2 linked regions of the Saccharomyces cerevisiae S288C genome follow. Changing the gene in region 2 together with the main gene of any one other region gives a genetic interaction. Each region holds a gene or a part of one and is shown on either strand. Other genes may lie near its edges. The genes, in order: RTK1 and GON7.

The links.
Region 1: mutations in GON7 (region 2) and RTK1 together harm fitness more than expected from each alone (negative genetic interaction), as found in Saccharomyces cerevisiae (one large-scale study listed by BioGRID).

The regions. Positions count from the first base shown.
Region 1 is NC_001136.10:404,558-409,071, reverse strand, and holds RTK1 (putative serine/threonine protein kinase RTK1), read left to right. Parts: upstream 1-1,865; coding exon 1,866-3,728; downstream 3,729-4,514. Other genes in the region: putative acid phosphatase DIA3, read left to right, coding at 1-621; MRX9 (Mrx9p), read left to right, coding at 4,115-4,514. UniProt on the Saccharomyces cerevisiae protein: Probable serine/threonine-protein kinase that may be involved in ribosome biogenesis.
Region 2 is NC_001142.9:81,123-84,319, forward strand, and holds GON7 (chromatin DNA-binding EKC/KEOPS complex subunit GON7), read left to right. Parts: upstream 1-2,325; coding exon 2,326-2,697; downstream 2,698-3,197. Other genes in the region: alpha-1,2-mannosyltransferase MNN5, read left to right, coding at 1-793; ATG36 (Atg36p), read right to left, coding at 973-1,854; MNN11 (alpha-1,6-mannosyltransferase), read left to right, coding at 2,946-3,197. UniProt on the Saccharomyces cerevisiae protein: Component of the EKC/KEOPS complex that is required for the formation of a threonylcarbamoyl group on adenosine at position 37 (t(6)A37) in tRNAs that read codons beginning with adenine.

The sequences.
Region 1 (4,514 bases), on a different chromosome or scaffold from region 2:
TGGTGTGCCTTCGAGTTGAACGCAAAAGGTTATAGTAACATTTGTGACATTTTCTCCGCGGCAGAGTTAATACATTATTCTTATGAGACTGATTTGACGAGCTTCTACCAAAATGGTCCCGGATACAAATTGATTAAATCTATAGGTGCTAATTTGTTCAATGCAACAGTGAAGCTAATACGACAAAGTGCGCACTTGGACCAAAAAGTTTGGCTGAGCTTTACGCACGATACTGATATTCTAAATTATTTGACAACTGCTGGATTGATTGATGACACTAGAAATTTAACAACCAATCATGTTCCCTTTCGTGATCATTCCTACCACAGGTCGTGGTACATTCCTCAGGGAGCTAGAGTCTACACAGAAAAGTTTCAATGCTCAAACGATTCGTACGTCCGTTATGTGGTCAACGATGCTGTGGTTCCTATAGAGAGTTGCTCCAGTGGTCCAGGTTTTTCATGTGAAGAGGGCACATTTTACGAGTATGCCAAAGACAGATTACGAGGTGTGAGCTTCTATGAAGATTGCGACGTCTCCAAAGTTAGCAAAGAAAAGGAATTGACGTTTTACTGGGATTGGAACACAACAAGGTATAACGCATCCTTAGTGAATCAATAAGCCATGCATGGGCAGAAATAAAAAAAAATAGGAAATTGTCTTTACATAACATGGTCACAAAGTAATATTCCGCATCGTTCTTCCTTCAGCAAACCGAAGGGGAGCGAATTGAGCCTTCAAGCTACATCTAAAAGAGATTCCACTAACAAGTTCTGCGGTTATTACATATTTTTGTACTACAGAGAATTTAATTGCACCCGCTTTATCACCCTCGTTATTTATATTCTTTTCTGGAATATTTAGATATGCGTCATTTGATTATTGTTGTTTTTTTTTTTTGTTTTTTTACTTTCATTACATCGCTAAATATAATATAAAAGAGATGAACGGCTATTCTTTCTGAATATCGAAAGTTAAAACTCGGATAGAAAATTCACAAGAACATAAAAGAAAACTTCCGGATTTCAAAGGCGGTTCTGGTATTGGGAAACTTCCACAACATATCTCAAATTCAAACTGAAAAGTCCTCAGTGTCTTTTATTCGAAACTCCGGGAAAGCACTGCTTGAATGGATTAAGTAAACTTGAAATAAATTTTTTACTTCTACAGCTAAAATGTGAAATATAGTGTCCGCTTCCACCAAAGGCGTTTATTTTCTCGAAATGAACCTGTGAATAACACAGCTGGCTCCAACTCAAACACTCAACTGCGTCATTTCTTATTCGCTTTCCAAATCATGCATGATTTTTCTTTCTCTTGCCTGCAGTGCTCGTTTCACCGCTCGCGTACTCGTCCATTCTTTGTCAGCGAAGAGGCTCTAACAGTGGAGAGCACATCTGGCAAGTAAAATGATAGGTTGCGCAAGGGGGTAGGGGAATGACTAATAAAGCATTACTACCATCATACCAAGTTCCCATTCATGTACACATAGTCTCTTTAATTGCCTTCTTGAATGGAGGCCAGTAGATATTTGGAGAAGCTTTTCTTGCAGTTCGGGTAATATCGAACGGCGTACATCTATAAGGGGAAAAGCTACTTCCGCTTCTCATATATCTATTTTGCAGTGTGACTCTTCCTGGCTTGCTAAGTATTGTACCTGTTATGGGGCAAGCAAGATTTCTCATTGAAAAAAGATATAATACTTATTTGCAGCCAATAGTGACGGATTCTAGTGTTCTTCTTTTCCATAAGTTGATTACGCTATTCACCCAAACTGACTCTTTAGTGCGCTAATAAGCTGAGAGGATTTGAGAGGGAAAAAAAGAGAGAAGGACAGAAAAGAGCAGCCTGAAATTCATAGCATAATGGTTAAGGAAACTCCATTACACTCATCTTCATCAACTTCGCTGTCTTCATTATTTAGGCCAACTAAGTTGAAGAATTTATCGGCTAAAATATTCAATGGAGGTGGTAACCAATCATACTCAAAGACAGATGATGTTTCAAGGTCTTCTTCTAGATCTTCAAAAAAGAATACAGATTCTGACCAAGAGGATCAAATAAAGTATAACAAACCCAACGACCGAAGATCTACCATAGGAAAGAGCCCCCAGGGAAATGGCGCGTTGTCAAAGGAGTCACACGTAGTAGCAAGTTCTACTTTGACAGGTATTTCTCCTACTTCAGCTAAAAAAGCTCCTATTGACTACTCTCCTTCACGGCCCTTACCTAACAATCATAATCCCGTTCGTACGGGACACACTGTGCCCCACTTACCCCATAGTATTCACAATCCAATAAACTACATTCATCAAGGCTCAAAAGATGCTTTCCACCATCCTCACCCCGTTCGCTCTACAGCTCATAGCAACATTTCTACAGTGTCTTCTGCAAAATCTGATACACCCTCTTCGAATTTATCATACCAGGCACATATGCATCCCGTAGAGATACTACAGAAACAGATTGAAGACAAACACTTCATGGACTCTCAAGCCTCCACCCCTGGGTCCGTGGAACTACAGCATAATTCTTCAAGCGGTAGTGATGATACCTCATCAAGAAAGAAAAAATCCTTGAGATTAACAAGATTTTTCAAAAAAATTCATAATGATTATCACGATAACCATCATCATCACCACCATCACAACCGTGGATCCACCCCTACAAAACCGAAGCTCAATTTGAACACCAATGAAAATATAGTAGAAAGTAACGGAAAAGCGTTATACGAAACAGATAACCCAGTGGAGCTATTAGAAAAATATGGTATTCCTGGTAGAAAATTAGGCGAAGGAGCTTCCGGTTCAGTGTCCGTAGTAGAAAGAACAGACGGCAAGTTATTTGCTTGCAAAATGTTCAGAAAACCACACTTAAACAATGAAGGAACTAATCAGTCTCAATTAGCTAATTATTCTAAGAAGGTTACCACTGAATTTTGTATTGGTTCCACGCTGCACCACGAAAATATCGTTGAAACCCTAGATATGTTGACTGAAGGTGACACCTATTTATTAGTAATGGAGTATGCGCCATATGATTTTTTTAATCTCGTCATGAGTAACCTAATGACACAAGATGAAGTCAACTGTTACTTCAAGCAGCTGTGCCACGGCGTTAATTACCTGCACTCTATGGGCTTAGCTCATAGGGATTTAAAATTGGACAATTGTGTCGTCACTAAAGATGGCATCTTGAAACTGATTGACTTTGGGAGCGCTGTAGTGTTCCAATACCCTTACGAAGATACCATTGTAAAATCACATGGAATCGTGGGTTCTGACCCTTATTTGGCTCCTGAGTTATTGAAACAAACATCCTACGATCCAAGAGTAGCAGATGTGTGGTCTATCGCTATTATATTTTACTGTATGGTCCTTAAAAGATTTCCTTGGAAGGCTCCAAAAAAGAGCTTCAACTCATTTAGGTTATTTACTGAGGAACCTGAGGACGAAGATGATATAGTTCGGGGGCCAAATAAAATATTAAGGCTACTGCCAAGACATTCACGGACAATAATAGGCAGAATGTTGGCTTTAGAACCAAAGCAAAGAGTTTTAATGAATGACGTGGTAAAGGATGATTGGCTTGTATCCGTCCCCTCCTGTGAAGTTGACCCTACATCTGGCGATTTGGTTGAAAAACCAAAGAATCATAAGCATCACTTGGTCACTGAGGAGGAGTTGAATGAGCTGACCAAGCAACACGGGAATAAAGATTCAAATTAATGAAATAAACACTTTTTAAAAGATAAAACCTAAAAAATTGTATATAGAAGATTCAAAGTACTATAAAAGGCATTATATAGGAATAAAAGATGGTGTGCATACAGGTGAAAAAGAAAACTAGTTAAATCTGGAAAAAAAAAACGCTCATATATATACAAAAACATAAATACATTCGTCAAAACAAAAAGCGCTTAAATAAATAAAAGCATTTTTTAGATAATCTCAACGGGCGCCAAATTGAAGTCACCCGACGCATAAAATTGTGAACACGCCCTATTAGATTTTACAAAGAGGAAGTCTCCTCCCCTATAAACTGCAAAGAATAATTGAAAAGTGATTTAGCGCAGATAAATAAGACCACCATAACCACATATGAGTAGGAAAAAATGTTCAAAGTTCCAGTGGGATTAGCCAGTAGGACAAGGGAGCTTATGAACAGCGTTACGCTCAATAGTCTCAATAATGGAAAGGGTTTCAATATGTACTTGCCAGGAATATTAAGGGCTTTTCCTAAACCAGTGCCTTCGGCGATTACATCTCCCGCAATTCCAAAATATCGAGGAGAAAGTTTCCAGTTTCGTAAGCTTTCATGCATTTCTTCTAATTATTGTTCTACCACTCACCAATTTCTATCCAGTCTGAAAAGCTCGACATCCAGGTTGGTTGGTAAAAGAGCCTTCCATTCGTCACGACGTGCAGAAATAAAGTTTATATTTTCTTCGAAGTCACCAAAGAACGGTAACAAGCCGTTTGTGAAAGTATATAAAGTCTCCCCATTTTTTATCA
Region 2 (3,197 bases):
GGAGAGACAGGAGCATTTCCTGAAACATGTTCCCTTACATGATCTGGACGGCACGATGCCAGACTTGAGCTCTGAATCAGGCCAGATGGTGATTGATAAGATTCGCCATTTCAACACTCTATTACTGGCGCTATACTATAATGTTTATGGGCCTACCTGGTATTATAAGATGATTTCTCAAGGCACTGCCGGTGAAGGTGACAAAGACACTTTCGTCGCTGCTGCCCATGCCTTGAATATGCCATACTATCAAGTGAGGACTAACTTTGAATTTGATGGTTTCTTCTATCAAAAAGATGATTACAAGGGTCTCGCCTTGCTCCAGCATGATTTTGAACAAGATTACAAGCAATACCAAAAGGCGCAGCAGAAAGTTAAAGCCAACATTGAGGAATTTTCCAAACTGGATCCAGATTATACTTTGGACAATGGTTTCTTGAAAACTTTGATGGTTAATGATGACGGTTCTGATTTGGATATCATGTTCATTCATGCCAGTTTCTACAAGGCAGATCCATGGACTCTTTATCATGAAAACAGATTTATCGGTCCAAATGGCGAACAAGTACGGGGCTTCAGGAAGCCGCATCGCTATGGAATGGATTTTGAATTGTTTTTATTCAATGATATGAGGGGGTCCTTCTGTACCACTCCGAAAAGCCAAGTTATTAAATTCAAGTATTTTACCGATAAAGTTAATACCCCAGAATGGGATGCAATGTGTGAGTATTTGACCAATCATGTTAATTATCTGGAGAGCACACACAAAGAAGCTATGGGGGAGAAAAACTAATGAAGTGATTAACTATAATAATTTAATAATAACTCGCCATCCGACCTTGTATAATATAATGTAGCATATATGTGCACGGATATATATACATCTTAGAAAAAAATGAAAAAATGAAACCAAGAAAAAACTAACTGATGGTGTTCGGACAACGTTTTAGAATGAGGGTATCTAACTTTCTTCTACCATTCTCTGTCCAAAAACCTAGAAAGTAAAGTCCAGCCAAACCAAGATGTGTTTTCCAACGACGAAGACGCTGCGCTTGGTGAACGGTTTAATGTTTCTCCAGTGCTCTCATCTGTAAATCGTGACCGCGATGACGAATCTATATCTACGTCTGACAACCTGTCGAATTCAAGAGGCATCGAGTAGTAATTGAAAATAAAGTCACGCTGGGGGAAAAAAGATGGTATATCGTCAAATATTCTTTCATGATGGTATGTCAATAATTGCCGGCGAGTTTTCTCGCGGTAGCATGTTCTTAGAATTGGATACAAGTCTCTTGATAGTTTCTGCACAGCAATTCTTTGGGCATTTGTAAGTTTCTTTAATTTCGCAGAGGTATAAAGTTCTCTTTCCTTAAAGGAATAAACGGGAAATCCATGATTGACACCGTCGCTTGATTGAGGGACATTTTGATGCAGCTCATTAAATAAATGGCTGCCCAAACACCACTCATCGATCCGGTCAGAGTTACTAGACGATCGAATGTTACGAAGAGCGGGCGCCGGCTGCTCTGAGGGCGGAGAATTTTTATTGCTGTCACTGGATATCGACAGTATAGCAATTTCGTCAGAAGGAACTTCGAAGGCACTACTTGCAGATTCCAGTGTCTCATCGCGACTAATGGCAGTATTTGTACATTCTGGAGATAAATCTGGGTTATTGATAACCCTTACATCATTGAATGACTTTAATCTATGGAAGTCTAGCTCAAATTCCTCTTCTGAGAGTTCCAGGACTTCAAATAGCGATTCTTCATCGTGAATGCCGTTATTAATTCTGGGTTGAATGCGAGCAGACCTTGACCCGCAATCAACCTGGTAATTGTTCACAGATGCCATTAATGAGCTGTACTGACCACCAAATTTTAGTATTTTAAGCCCTGAATACAACCTTTGCTCCTTGTCGACATTCGTAAGTATATAGAAATCTATCCCTTCAAAAGATTTGTATTATTCGGGATTACGCTACAGCCGCACGTAGATCGTACGTGTATAACGATGTTTATCTTGGTGAAAGTATCTTAACGCGAATGCTCTAGTGATGGCACAATAGAATAGTGTCTTAGCACCACAGAGCGTGATTTTTTAAAGCTCTATATTAGCAACTACGATAGGTGTTTATTTAGTTTCTTTGTTGATCTTCCTGTTTCCAGTGTTACGGCCTTGTCAGGTCAAAAATTTTACCCGGATCTCTAGTAATGAGTAACTTAAGAATATCCCATCTGATTATTGGTAGTTTTACTGAACCAAGTTAGAGCTAAATAAATATATACAGCCGATAGTGCACTGGAACCTTATCCTAATATCTCAATGAAACTACCGGTAGCACAGTACAGTGCACCAGATGGTGTGGAAAAAAGTTTTGCACCAATACGCGATGACCCTCGATACATGACCACAGAGGGAAGGACAACTGGGCCCAGTGACCATGTGCTAAACGCTGGCCAAATCGATAGAGACAAACCTTCAGAACCGGAACGCACGAAAGATGGCTCACAACTGACATACTTAGGCCAGCTGCGCACGCAGCTGACGGGGCTACAGGACGATATTAACGAGTTTTTGACAGGAAGAATGGAATTGGCAAAAAATAAGAAGAAAGCCGGCGCAGACGAGAAGCGGATCCAGGAAGAGATTAACCAGCTATTAGATGGTGGTGACGGTGACGAAGATGCTGTTTAGGCAACGATATGTAGCGCTAGAGAGTGTATATACAAACAGAAAAGAGTCTAATGATAAATGACAAATATTTCGTTACAAGTGATAATTGTTGAACTAGGAAGAGTTGATATAAAAAAATAATAAACACACGATGGGATACAGTTAAGAAGGATTGATCGACTCCTAAATGATGCGAAGAAAGCCAATTTTCAACTTGGAATCATCCTGCCGGTTTGTTGTTGGTGTTAGCTGTGTTAGGACTCGTTAAAATGGCAATCAAACCAAGAACGAAGGGCAAAACGTACTCCTCAAGATCGGTGGGTTCGCAGTGGTTCAACAGGCTTGGTTTCAAGCAGAACAAGTACGGAACTTGTAAATTTTTGTCGATAATAACGGCCTTTGTTTTTATCCTCTATTTCTTCTCCAATCGCTTCTATCCAATTTCTCGTTCCGCCGGTGCATCATATTCTCCATCCCATGGGCTGTATATTAACGAAATTCCTGCCTCCAGCCGGTTGATT